Linked DNA regions of Danio rerio. The protein of the gene in region 1 purifies or fractionates together with the protein of each later gene. This does not show direct contact. Links are inferred from orthologs where the notes say so. Each region holds a gene or a part of one and is shown in the gene's direction. Other genes may lie near its edges.

Evidence for each region. Proteins that work in one complex are often made in the same cells at the same time.
Region 2: the proteins of dhx15 (region 1) and sf3b6 fractionate together in Homo sapiens (co-fractionation; 3 studies listed by BioGRID and IntAct, with this or other methods). This does not show direct contact. The link is inferred for Danio rerio from reciprocal best matches to the Homo sapiens genes DHX15 and SF3B6.
Region 3: the proteins of dhx15 (region 1) and sf3b4 purify together in Homo sapiens (co-immunoprecipitation; 4 studies listed by BioGRID and IntAct, with this or other methods). This does not show direct contact. The link is inferred for Danio rerio from reciprocal best matches to the Homo sapiens genes DHX15 and SF3B4.
Region 4: the proteins of dhx15 (region 1) and sf3b2 purify together in Homo sapiens (co-immunoprecipitation; 3 studies listed by BioGRID and IntAct, with this or other methods). This does not show direct contact. The link is inferred for Danio rerio from reciprocal best matches to the Homo sapiens genes DHX15 and SF3B2.

Annotation. Positions count from the first base shown.
Region 1 is NC_133182.1:76,901,094-76,905,022, reverse strand, and holds part of dhx15 (ATP-dependent RNA helicase DHX15), read left to right. Parts: coding exon 1-284; intron 285-1,152; coding exon 1,153-1,346; intron 1,347-3,282; coding exon 3,283-3,442; intron 3,443-3,929.
Region 2 is NC_133195.1:38,725,821-38,728,319, forward strand, and holds the end of sf3b6 (splicing factor 3B subunit 6), read left to right. Parts: intron 1-911; coding exon 912-1,050; intron 1,051-1,518; coding exon 1,519-1,608; 3' UTR 1,609-1,848; downstream 1,849-2,499.
Region 3 is NC_133194.1:8,482,902-8,487,329, forward strand, and holds the end of sf3b4 (splicing factor 3B subunit 4), read left to right. Parts: coding exon 1-33; intron 34-2,851; coding exon 2,852-3,181; intron 3,182-3,463; coding exon 3,464-3,630; 3' UTR 3,631-3,777; downstream 3,778-4,428. UniProt on the Homo sapiens protein: Component of the 17S U2 SnRNP complex of the spliceosome, a large ribonucleoprotein complex that removes introns from transcribed pre-mRNAs.
Region 4 is NC_133182.1:6,544,505-6,547,805, forward strand, and holds part of sf3b2 (splicing factor 3B subunit 2), read left to right. Parts: intron 1-2,148; coding exon 2,149-2,343; intron 2,344-3,301. UniProt on the Homo sapiens protein: Component of the 17S U2 SnRNP complex of the spliceosome, a large ribonucleoprotein complex that removes introns from transcribed pre-mRNAs.

The DNA of each region.
Region 1 (3,929 bases):
GAGACCGAGACCGCGATCGCGACCGAGAGAGAGACAGCAAGTCGTCGAGTGCGGCGCTCAGCTCCAGCGTGTCTGGAAGCGGAATCCTTCCTCTGAAGCAGGCCAGCATGCATCAGCAGATCAACCCCTTCACCAACCTGCCTCACACGCCACGCTACTACGAGATCCTCAAGAAGAGGCTGCAGTTGCCCGTCTGGGAGTATAAAGAGCGCTTTAATGACATCCTGAACCGCCATCAGAGCTTTGTGCTCGTAGGAGAGACCGGCTCTGGAAAGACCACACAGGTTAGACTGCATAGAATTTTCCATATACCTTTGCAGTGTCATTTTTACATTTACATAACCATAAACGCTGTTTATTTCACTTTTATCTTTGCTTTATTGCATTTATTTATGCTTTTTATTTGTTTAGTTCCACAATCATGAGATAAAATTTGTAATTTTTACTGTTGGTCATCAGTTGACAGCATTAACACTTTAGATAGGCCTGTGCAAACTAGTTTTGGGCTTTTTTTATAGCATTTTATGGAGTAAAACGGCTGATTATAGTGTGTGTGTGTGTGTGTGTGTGTGTGTGTCCATGAATAGACTTACTAGGTTACTATGGTTACTATGTTCTGAGAGCTGAGCTGATTATTTAGATTTTCTCAGACATATTACAGTAAGTGCGCAAAGGTCTCTCCCTCTCATATACACGCATAAACAATAAATATAACTCCAAAGCCAGAAACTAATCTTTTTTGCACTGCTATTGATGATCAACAGTAAAAATGAAACATTTTACCTCTTCCCAACAGGGAAAACCACCAAGAATAAAGAATACACCTAGTCATGACTTTGCAATCACAAAACGTCATTATAATGGAAATCAATGGGTCAAAAACAGCCACCAACATAATGAAAGTGTAGTAAATTTGCCTAGAGTATATTAAAAGTTCAGTTTTTGAAAATTTTCAAAGTGTTTTCCCAAAATATGTCAAAATAAGATTAATTACCAAAAATCATTCCATTTGCTGAAACACTGAGAAGGTTGTGGCCAAATTAAGTCTCAAAATCCCCCCAGATTGGATTAAAAACATCCCCAACAGCACACAAGGCTTAATAAAACCACAATAAGGAGCTTTTAATGGATGTTTGGACTGTTGTTTTTCAGATCCCTCAGTGGTGTGTTGACATGGTCAGGTCTCTGCCTGGCCCGAAGCGCGGCGTGGCCTGTACTCAGCCCAGAAGGGTGGCAGCCATGAGTGTGGCTCAGAGAGTGGCAGATGAGATGGATGTCATGCTGGGTCAGGAGGTCGGATACTCCATCAGATTCGAGGACTGTAGCTCTGCAAAGACCATACTAAAGTAAGTCATTGCTCTCAAATGATGTGTGTCATGAGCCTTCAATAAAGTGGAAGTCAATGCACCCTTTTCACAAGACGCGTGTAATAGTCATCAGCATCTTGAATACTTGAACGTTTTTAATATTGTGATATAAAAATGCTTTAACTTTTATTTGTAATTGTGTTTGTATTACATCATCTTTGCGTAAAGTTACTAAAAACAAATGACTATTTGTACGAGGGTGTTGAAATGCAGCGCGTATGGGGGCAGGACAGTAAATCGGATGTTGTTTTCTCTTCTGGCTACAGTTATCAGTCTCACACTATCGTTTTCCTTTTTCTGAAAGTCGTGATAACACCATTGTGGAGTTTTTCTTTTCTTTTTTTAGCAAATAGGATTTTAAAACAATTATTTGTTGCACTCTCTCGTTTACTGCACTAAAAGTTTACCAACTATGACGACTTCTGCTGCTGACTAATCTGGAAACTGGAAAATGGTCCGTTGTAGCTTTTGGTAATGGGCTAAGCTTGTAGAAATCCTCTGTCATTAAAGGGATAGTTCACCCAAAAGTGAAAAATATAACTAAAAAAAGGTTTATAACAATAAGACATCAACAGCAATAAATAATACAGAAAATAAGATGATCTAAAGCAGTTTAAGATTTACTTTTGATGATAATTCTGCAGTTTTTGAAAGACTCTTTACAGAGACTTTTAAATGTGAGTGCTTGAAAAAATTGTTTTAAGTTTAGTTGTATCCAATATAAAAGTTTATTTTGACACGATGTATGTGTGTTGTGTATATTATGCATATGTAATACAAAGTATGTTTATTTTTTTGTTTTTTTTACATACAAATTATAAATACATTAAGGGCGCTTTCACACCTAGACCTTTGTTTCGGAACCTGGTGCGTTTCCCCGGTTCGTGCGGTTCGTTTGGCATATGTGAATCCAGCAATCGGGCTCTGATCCGCACCAAAGCAATCGGTCCGAGATCGCCTGAATGAGGTGATCTTGGCTTGATTGAAACGAACTCTAAAGCAGATCGATTGTAGTGAGAAAGCAATACAATCTAAACCAGGCTATATCACAGAGTATTATGGATATGTAATAGGCATACATATGGTTATAAATAAAGAATTATGATAAGGGCGGGATGTTATTTTTACCAGTAAATAAGCATTTCATGTCAAATACGAAAATGAAAGCATGCTGAACTATTAACGAGAGCTGTTTATTCGTTAGGAAAATGGGTCTTGGTTTATCTGTTATTTCTCTCATAATGTAAAGCCTATAATGCATAATTCTAGCCAAAGGCTATGTGTGAAAAAGTCTTACCTCTGATTTAAATCTGTTGATGTCTGTGGGTGTCACCATTCAAAATGAAAGTGCAGCCTTTCGCTTATGTCTCATTGCTCCTCATCATAAATTAAAATAAGGACGCATGACAGCTGAGCGGGACTCTGCAAAATAAACCATGCAACTCTGACCAATGTGAGGAGAGTTTACTCACACGTGACTTGTATTAGCTATTTTGGTCCATTTTCTGTATTATTTACTGCTGTTGATGTCTTATTGTTATAAAACTTTTTTATTATAAAGAAGATATTTTTATAAAATGTTTGTAAATTGTGTTTGTTTTTGCCACGACAGCTAGAAGCAGATAATGGCTATCAACTCAATATCTGTCCGTCTGTCTCTCTAATTTAAATTAAAAATGGATGAGAAATGTTACCAATGTATTGCCAAAGCGTTCATAAAGTTTACATTAACACGAACACAGTATATGTAAAAACATAGTAGGCGCAGTAAATGGTAGTAGTAAAAAACAAAATCTGAATAAACTGTACATTTCAAGTACTCTTCTCTCTCTCTAGCTCTGCTATGCCTATTCTTTTGGTGTTGTTTTAGTGCTACTTGATATAAAGACTAATAAAAAGTGTGTCTTGTTTGCAGATATATGACAGACGGTATGTTACTCCGTGAGGCTATGAACGACCCCTTACTGGAGCGATACGGTGTCATTATTCTTGACGAGGCCCACGAGCGCACGTTAGCCACAGATATTCTGATGGGCGTCCTCAAGGAAGTGGTCCGACAGAGATCTGACCTTAAGGTATGTCAAACCCATCACCGGTAGAAGTAGGTGACAGAAATAATTACCAGTGAGCATATAAGTGAAGTCACAATTATAAGCCCTTTATTACAAAATATTTTCCAAATGATGTTTAACAGATTCAGGAGTTTTGCCACAGTATTTCCTATAATATTTTTTCTCCTGGAGAAAGTCTTATTTGTCACAGGGGGCTAATAATTCTGACTTCAGCTGTACACTCGGTCAGGTAATACATACGAGAAATGTAGACTTGACCATGACTTGGAAATTGAATTAACTTTAGAATTGACTATAGACCTGCTCACACTCTGAGATTTCACCCGCGGTTTAGTCATCTGAGACAAATTTGGAAAATCCTAAAAGATTCTTGAAATCCCAGGCTAAAATCTGTGATCTTTGATCGTTGGTTTGACATCCGCTTGGCGCCCGTTGCGTTCAGATGAAGTTCTGGCAGTGTCTGAAGATTATAGACACTTTCCTGCAGTGT
Region 2 (2,499 bases), on another chromosome or scaffold:
GTAATAATTTCAAACAAACCTAAACATTTGGGCACAATAAATTAAACGTTTGTAGCTTAAAGGTTAATTATTCATTTGTATGCAATTAAATGACACAATGCTATTATTATTATGATCATTATTATTATTATGATTATTATAGATTGATTACTGAATACTGTTTGACTGCCCATAAAATTATAAATCTTTGTTTATTTGCATCTTTTGTCCATTGTATTTAACTATGCTAGTCATTTTAATATAATACTTTATACAGATACACTCCCCTGCAGAATCATCCTAATCTTTACAAGCTAGTCGTCTGCTGAAATTGTATATATATATATATAGCAGTGAATAAAAATATTGCAATGTCAGTTTTTTTTTTCCAAATATCGCGCAGCTCTAGTTTTGATATTCACGCGATCATTCAGTGAAAACTTGTGATATGGTCTCTATATTTTTTACCACTCTACTTTGAATATTTGGGCAGAAATAGCATGCAAGTATGACTTCAAAACAACGTCAGCACTATTTGATTGACTGTGAACCATGTTGTCTTTTGTTAGTCTTTGGCCGCTAAAATGACTTCCCTATTCAGAATTGGCAAAGAATACTTTTTGAAATTCTAATATTAAGGAAAAGTCAGAATGTGCAAATATAAAACCTTACCCCAATGAGAAAACATATTAGCATCAAATGACTATCAAAGTATAACATTAAATAGAGCTAATGTTGTTTTAAAGTTATATTTACATGCTATTTCAGGCCGAATATTCAAAGTACAATATAGGCTGTCACAAGTTGTCATTGTTCAAAAATGAACAAATGTGCAAATATAGAACTAACTTTACCTCCGTGATTGTGTCATTAATATATTTGTGTTTGTAAGTTGAGTAACTGAATGTTCCGTTGTTATTTTTCTTCTTCAGCGGGAACACACCAGAGACCAGAGGCACAGCCTATGTTGTATATGAAGACATCTTTGACGCCAAAAATGCCTGTGATCACCTTTCAGGGTTCAACGTCTGCAACAGATACTTGGTTGTGTTGTATTATAATGCAAACAGGGTGAGTTTGTTTAACTTTGGCTTTGAAATGCTAACATTGGAATCAATCAACTTGTTAAGTGTGGCATCAAGCAAAGCGGCTTTCAGGTCAAAGGGCTCTATCAAAAGTAACGGGAAGGCTCAACAAATGGAAATAATAAACATTTAAAAATCGATTTAATGCTTTCAAAAATCACGATCGCTATATATATATATATATATATATATATATATATATATATATATATATATATATATATATATGCACCTAATATCTGATGGCCAGAAAGTGATACATTTTTATAAATTGTTAAAATATTGGTGTCTGCAAGCAGCAAGACTCTTGTGTGCACCATGGTTTTTATATAAAATTCACTTTAATGTGTGATGTGACCAAAAATTGCATTTCATTTTTAAATGATGCACTACTTTATGTTAATGGAAGTAGTGATGAGGCTATATATTAATGTTTACTTCTTTTTTTCCCAAGGCTTTCCAAAAAATGGACACAAAGAAAAAGGAGGAGCAGCTGAAACTTCTCAAAGAGAAGTACGGGATAAACACAGACCCACCAAAATAGTCAACATAGATTTTTTTTTTTTTACTCTTGTTCTGTCTTGCACCCATCTCATTTTCACTTTACTGCTTTAAGTAATACTTGTTTAAAAGGAAAGGACTGTTTGACCATTGTTCTTTGCTTGAACTGAAGTCTTTTGGCAGACCTAATTTCTTTTTCAATTAATTTTCTGTTAATATTGAATAAAATGATATTTGTTCATCGGGTTTGTTTTAATAAATCATTGATTCTCCTTTTTTAATATAAATGTTTGGTGTCTTTTTGCACTTATTGTACAGGTAAAATAGATTCAAAGTCCTGGAGTTTAAAAATGAATCAACTGATTTTACAAATGAAAGTTGATGCAATGCTTGACAAACACATGAATTAACATTTCTCTGGTTATCAGTAAGTGTGTGTGTGTGTGTGTGTGTGCGCGCGTGCGTGCGTGTGTGTGTGTGTGTGAGAGAGAGAGATTACATAAATGCGCATCTATTGTTTTTTTATTTTGAAACAATATTTTAATTTTTAAATAAAATAATGTTGTGTGTTTGTGCATATTATAAGTTATATACTCCATACATAAATAAACAAAATGTATAATTATATATTTAAAAAAAACGCATTGTTGCCGACGTCTTGTAATGAACTTCCGTTTGACCTTAAATGAGCCAATCAGTTTCTAGCAGGGGAAGGAGGCGCGAAAGTACCAGTGCTGGATCTAGTTAGGCGTCTGTTAATTTGCTTGTTTAGTTGTGGGATGTCGGTTTGTTTCTGGGATTTTCATATTGCTGTATCTTTGTTGTTCGCTAAAACTACGCTTGACTGGGGAAAAATCCCTTTTCAGTTCGCTTACCTTTGATTTGCTTCGACGGTTGATGAGAGGCCAAGATGTCGTTGGTCAACGCTGAGTTC
Region 3 (4,428 bases), on another chromosome or scaffold:
TGACTGCCCTCGGAGCAGCCATGCCTATTCCAGGTTAGAGATGAGAAACATCTTAATGACATGTTGCAAATGTTTTTCACATTTCCAGGTTCAAAGTCGTCAGAGTTGGATAAATTTAGAGTGAAGTGAATGGGAGAGTACAACAAATATTTTTTATTCACAATCCTGTTTGCTGAAATAGTAAAAGAAAAACTTCACTATGGTGTTATCAAGACTTTCAAGAAAGAAAAGAAAATAATGTGAGACTGATAACGACAGACAGAAAATAGAACAACATCAAATTTACTGTCCTGCCCTATAGACGCTGCATTTCAAATGCCACACATAGGTGGTAATTTAATGCAAAGATGATGTAGCACATACATAAATACATAAAAATGTTAATAGTTTTTAAATAATCTATTAAAAATATATAAAAAGATTTAAGATAGGGCTGTATGATATTGGAAAAATGTAATGTAACCCACAGTTCCTACTGCACCTATTCCATTCTGAGCTGGGATCAAACTGGCGATTCTTTGTAATGGAAGCCGGTTGCTCTACCAGGGAGGCTAAAGACCATGGCCTCTAGCTTCTGTGTCTAGAATACCTTTTGAGGTCAGAGGAGTGACGTTTACCTGCGTAGCCCTTTGCTATCTGGCCTCCGTTACACTCACCCTCCTAAACCTCACTGCTCACTCCCATTCCAGACGAGCCCTCAAGTGTAACCCACCGGTTCCTCTGCACCCAACCCGGTCTGAGCTGTGACTGGCAATTTGTTGTATGGGAGTCGATTGCTCTAACAAGGAGGCTAAAGACCATGGCCTCTAGCGTTTGTCGTTAGAGCACCTTTTGAGGTTAGAGAAGTGAGGTTTACCTGCTTAGTACTTCGCTAGCTGGCCTCTGTTACACTCACCCCCCTAAGCCTCAGTCTCATCCTGGACGAGCCCCCAAGTGTAATCCACCAGTTCTACTGCACCCGACCTGGTCTGAGCTGGGATCGAAACGGTGATTCTTAGTATGGGAATTGGTTGCTTCAACAGGAAGTCTAAAGACCATGGCCTCTAGCGTCTTTCACTAGAGCACCTTTAGAAGACAGAGGAGGGAGAGGTTTACCTGCTTAGCACTTAGCTAGCTGGCCTCTGTTACAGTAACGTTGTGATATTTTGTTAAAATACAACTAGTAATCTACAAGCAAAGATCAATACTATAAGATGTAAATAAAATTGAATGGTTTTCTGATGAGTCTAACGGTATTTAAGTAGTAGTTGAATAATCAAATGTTAAATACTGTGTGTCTTTGTTTTATAAATAATCCTATAAAAAAGAAAGTTAGAAACAGTACAGTTTCTCAGGTCTGAATATATTTAATACCCTCAGTCACAGGCCTCAAAAACACACATAAGTCATAATTTATTATCCAGACTGTACATTGAGGGTCCTGCAATTTGACTATTGTATATGAGCACATTGCGATATCTATGCTGAAATGATATACAGCTTTAATTTAAGATGCTGATGATCGTTAAACGCGCCATAACAGTTCTTGTGAAAAGGGTCCATTGCACATCCCTACGTTATAAAAAACCTTTCTTTAATTTGGTTAAAGAGGTTTAAACTTTACTTTCACGTTCAAAGACATCAGCCAGGGTTCCTACACTTTTTGAAAGTACTTCGATTTTAGACATACGGATTTAAGGCTTGTAGAGTACTCAAAAACAAATCAGGTCCTTAATAGTGCTTGATTTAAATTTGAAATGAAGTTAGTTTAAGGTGTTATTGTAGCAATTGTACTGTCCTGCTGACAAAAACAGAACTAAAATGGAAAATTCTTTATATAAAAATATTACATTTACATCTTGTACAAAAACGATGACAAATAATGCACATTTCATGAAAGAGAGGAAACCCTGATCAATAAATGCTGGCATTTTAATTATCACTGAGAGAATTTCTGCAGGTCTTTAAAAGTCATTCACCCTTTTACAGTTTCTTAAATCAGAGCAGATAAAAATCATAAAACATGGGTGCAAACTTGTCACTTTTCAGTCACGTGACCAGTATTTTGACACAATGTGTTCTTTTAAAAAATAAATCTTTACTTGGTCATAAAGTCATAAATGTACCTTAATAAAAGCCCTAATAAAATAAGATTTGTTTTATGAAATGGGTCATGGTTATTTAAAACAAGTTAAATATCAAATCCTTTCTATTTAACTTGAGGTGTATTAAAATGTGTCATTTCACTTCAATATTTAATATTTATATTTTTTATTTTACATAAATATTTAATGTTTTCTACAAAAACTCTTAAAAAAAATACCCCCGTCACATTTTGATGAAATAAAACACAAACAGGTATTGACCTTATTCTTAGCCGACGAGCAGGCGCTGCCATTTGAATCTTTTTGGCACGAGACTTCCGGTCTCATTCACTTACATTCATTTTTAGACATTAAAAACTGCTCGTTTCGCTGTTTGATGTTGCAAACTGATATTTCTCTGTTATATTATTCTACTTGGTCTGTATAGTCATGCAAACATTTGTTTGTAGAGCAAGTAGTTTGACCATTTTCTGCCGTTTATTATTCCTAGTCATTTCTCCCATAGGCGACTGAAATGGAAGTTCTAAGACAATCGCGAAAACAGGCGCACTTCCGCAATTTAGAATGTCAATACAGTAGTAGAAAACATCAGTTATTTTAATTTAAAGTCTCTAGTCATAATTCTAACCTAGGATTAGGTGTAAAATAATGTCATAAGTCTGTAAAACTTTATAGCCTAAAAGAAAATAGAAATGTTTTTCTGGTGATTCAAGTTACCATACTGTTATTTTTTTTCTGCATCAACTCTTTGCATGTTAATCTTGCAGGAATGCCTCCTCCCGGTGCTTTCCCACCTGTTCCTCCTCCTGGCACAATGCCACCTGGGATGCCTCCCGGTATGCCCATGCCTCCAGCACCAGGTACTCCTGCGCCACAGGGCGGTGGAGGACCCCCACCGGGACACCCGCCCTTCCCTCCTGCTGGAATGCATCCGCCAGGAATGCCGCATATGCCGATGCCTCCAACGGGACCTCCAGGAATGGTGCCTCCCCCACCTGGCCCACCAGGATCTAACCAACCAAGAGCACCGCCTCCACCACAAATGCCTCCTCCACCCATGGGTGTCCCTCCCAGAGGACCCTTTGGACCCCCAATGGGTATGTATGTGTGTGTGTGTGAAGGAGACTGACTTGTTGTGTTAGTATGTATTGAAATCATGAAATAATATTAAATTATAAATTATAAATCATAGTATTATGAATATATCAGTATTTTATATGATCATTATCACAATATAATGATGGTTTATATATATATATATATATATATATATATATATATATATATATATATATATATATATATATATATAAAACGTGTATGTGTGTGTGTTTTTATTTATGCAATGATTTATACAAATCTTCATCTACTTTTAACAGGTCCACCAATGCATCCGGGTATGAGGGGTCCTCCTCCACCAATGCCGCCTCCAGGTTATGGTGCGGGACCACCCAGACCCCCACCCTTTGGTTTTCAGAGAGGGCCTCCCATGCCGCCTCGTCCTCCTGCACCCAGAGGTCCGATGAGAGCACCGGCACCTTCCTAAACCCCCATGTGAAGACCAAACTTTGTCTCGTTTTTATTTTACAGTCTGCGCTCTATTAGATGGATCTCTTGCTTCTTTGTACACAGATTTCTTAATTTTGGTCAATGTACCTTTTCGGAATTAGCAAGAATAAACAGTTTTATATAACATGGTGGTGGTATTTTAAGTGGACTTTTAAAAACTCTCTACTATCATCAAACATTAATATCGCTATAATATGAATACATAGAATCAGAAGGATAGGATTATAGTTCCTAGACATATCAGCCTAGAACAGGGATCACTAAACATGTTCCTGGAGGTCTGGTGTCCTGCAGATTTTAGCTTCAACCTTAATCAAACACACCTGATCAAGGTCTTACTAGGTATACTTGAAACACCCAGGCAGGTGAGTTGAGGCAAGTTGGAGCTAAACTCTGCAGGGCACTGGACCTCCAGGAACGAGATTAGTGACCCCTGCCCTAGAATATTGTAACTTTTAATTTTCTGTCGGTCTTAGCCAGGGGTGTACAATCTCAGTCCTGGAGGGCCGGTGTCCTGCTGAGTTTAGCTCCAACTTCCTTCAACACACCTGCCAGGCAGTTTTTAGTATTTATAATAAGAGCTCATTTAGCTGGTTCAGGTGTGTTTGATTAGGGTTGAAGCTAAACTCTCCAGGACAACGGCCCTCCAGGACCAATTTGGACACCCCTGGTGTTAGTACACCATGTAAACTACAGAAAAGTCCAACTTAAATAGGAAATTGATTAAAAACTTTTCCTTTTTGAGTGAGATGCTACTGGTCTAATCTGATTCAAT
Region 4 (3,301 bases), about 70 Mb from region 1:
GTACACTGGTGGTTTGTATTTCTGATATTAAATCACTTCACCTTCAGACAGCAACCGCCTCATCCCAGAGTACTCCCTGATTTAGTGGCTAATTAAGATGTCTGGATGGCTGATGAGATAGCAGAGCGTCTGCATCAGATCCGCTTCACAGCATCACACGCGCGCACACACTGCATCCATATGGCCTTCATCTGCATTTAAAATGACACAGAAGAGGGAAACGAGCAGCAGCTGGCGGATATGATGCTGTAGATCAGAAAAGTGCAGCTATATACGGTTTACAGCACTGACATGCAGAAATAAATGCTGCCTTTACTTGAGACAAATGACATTTTAGACGTTTGATGGGTTTGTTAGGAGTGTGTGATTTTAAAAACATTTTTATTTCAATATTTAGCAATGTGTTTCGTTTGTGCTGGTTTAGCCTGTCATGCATAACTATGATAATTTCAGTCAGTTACAGTTCTTAATGAGCGATTCACTCAGTCATTATTTCAAATGATTTGTTGCAAACGGCTCATTTATGTAAAATCATTTCATGAATTGATCATTGATTCGGATCAAACGATTCATTTAGAATGGCTGATTTTTTTTAGAATGAAGCAATGAATCATTTTTATGACTGGATTGATTCAAATGATTCATTCAGAATGGCGGTTTTATTTAGATTAAAGCAATGAATCATTCTAATGAATGTATCATGGACTCAAATGATTCGTTCAGAATGGCGGTTTTATTTAGATTGAAGCAATGAATCATTCTAATGAATGTATCATGGACTCAAATGATTCGTTCAGAATGGCGGTTTTATTTAGATTGAAGCAATGAATCATTTTAATGAATGTATCATGGACTCAAATGATTCGTTCAGAATGGCGGTTTTATTTAAATTAAAGCAATGAATCTTTTTAATGAATGGATCATGAACTCAAATGATTTGTTCAGAATGGGCTGATTTCTTTAGTTTGAATCAGTTAATCTTTTTTTCGAATGGGTTGACTCATGATTCATTTACATGATTCAAATGATTCATTTACAATGGTTGTTTAATTTAGGTTGAAGCGATGAATCAAATTAATCATTTTATAAATGGACTGATTTAATTGATTTGTTTAGAACAGCTGTTGTATTTAGATTGAAGCAGTGAATCAAATTTATGAATGGTTCATTAACTCAAATGATTCATTCAGAATTACAGATTTATTTAGACTGAAACTATAAATAGTTTTTATGAATGGATCATTGACTCAAATTATTCATTCAGAACAGCTGATTTATTTATAAATGAAGCATTTTTATTAAAGGATTGTTGATGTTCTCAAATGATCTGTTTAGAATAGAGAATTTTAGGGAAAAAAAAAGCATTTTCTAGGAATGGATCTTTGACTAATGATTTGTTCAGAATGGACTGATTTATTTAGAATGAAGCAATGAATCATTTTTATAAATAGATTGACTCGAATTGATTTGTTCAGAACAGCTGCTGTATTTAGTTTGAAGCAGTGAATCAAATATATGAATGGATCATTAACTCAAATGATTCATTTAAAATGGCAGATTTATTTAAATTGAATCTTTTCATAAATGTATTGGCTCAAATGACATTTTTATCAATGGATCATTGTCTCTGACTCAAATGATTCAATCAGAATCACAGATTTATTTAGAATGAAGCAATGAATCAGTTTTTAATTACCTTGACTCAAATGATTTGTTCAAAACCGCTGATTTATTTATAAATGGATCATTTTTATGAATGGATCATTGACTCAAATGATTCATTCAAAATGGCTGAATGTTTGATTTAGAAAGAAGCATCAAGTCTTAGTCAGAATGAAGTCATTTATTAGTCAATCGTAGACTCTGACTCAAATGATTCATTCAAAAATGATTCAGAGTGGAAATACTGAAGTATTGCTTTTTCTAAATACGGTTTGTCTTATAAATCTTGTAAAATGTCTTGTAAATCTTGTCTTAAATGTCAATTTTAAGTCATTCAGTATACTTTTTTGCTTGTTAACCCTGTTTTATAAGATCAATATCTATTTTTATTATTATAATACAGCTTTTTATTAATTATAGCCTCTTCTCTTTTAAAATGCATGTCAGAAATGTTAAAAGTGCCTCTCTGTGCTGTGATTGGTGCAGACGGTGACAAGTCGTAAGGTGGGCGTGTCTGTGCTGGGCGGAGACTCTCAGGGTGTGGAGGTTGCTCTGGCCCCAGAGGAGCTGGAGTTGGACCCCATGGCCATGACCCAGAAGTACGAGGAGCACGTCCGGGAGCAGCAGGTGGAGAAGGAGGACTTCAGCGACATGGTGGCCGAGCACGCCGCCAAACAGAAGGTCAGTTCACACGCAAGCCTTCAAGACTTTTAGCATTACTGCATTAAAGCAGGGCTGCTGCCCAAACTCGGTGCTGGAGAGTCAGTGTCCTGCAGATTTGACTTTCTGTATTTAACTGCAAATGTATGTTTGGCTTCACCACATCAGCGTTCACATCACAAGTATCAATCAATATATCACATTATCACATCATCAATATCATCACATTAATATTCATGCTTAAAACCCAGTGTGTAAATAAAGTGTCTGAGCCAGGTCCAAGCTAAATGCCAGCAGGTGTCTGTAGCTCCACTCACTCTCCGCCTCTTTGCCCTTGTTTGGTATCCCGCCGTGAGTGCGATAACGCACGAACAAAATGGCGACGGTTGGCCGCGCCTACTTGTGGCTTCTTTTGCGCTCTTCAGAAACCAATTGGTGACGTCACGGACACTACGTCCATATATTTTACAGTCTATGGGTGTGACACGCTCGCGCCTTTCAGTTGCACCCTGTTGAATTAAGGCCACAAGCGCACCGCAAGTTACGTGACAAGAACTGACCGATCAGTAGGCGAGCGCAGAAATCTGCAGATTTTGAGCCCATTATTCAGTCTATTTATTTACTTGTGTGTAAATTTATATTTATTCAATTATTATATTTATTTCAATAAATTTTACTAATATCATTATGATATAATAATAGTAATATTAATTTCATATGGTTTCTGAACAGTAGTTTGTAAATGAATATTTTCTGTCTTTTAGTAGATATATTATATGAGAGACTTGCTTTGTTTACCAAATAAGTGAATATAATTGGATTTGCAATGTAAACATTAAATACAAGTTAAAAATGTATTTTTATTAAGTTTTTAGTTATGATACTCCTAAAATTATTCTGCATAAATCCATCCATTTCTATTTTTTTATATATTTTTTTAAAAATGAAATTCTCAGCAGAAATAGCAAAAAATGTCCAC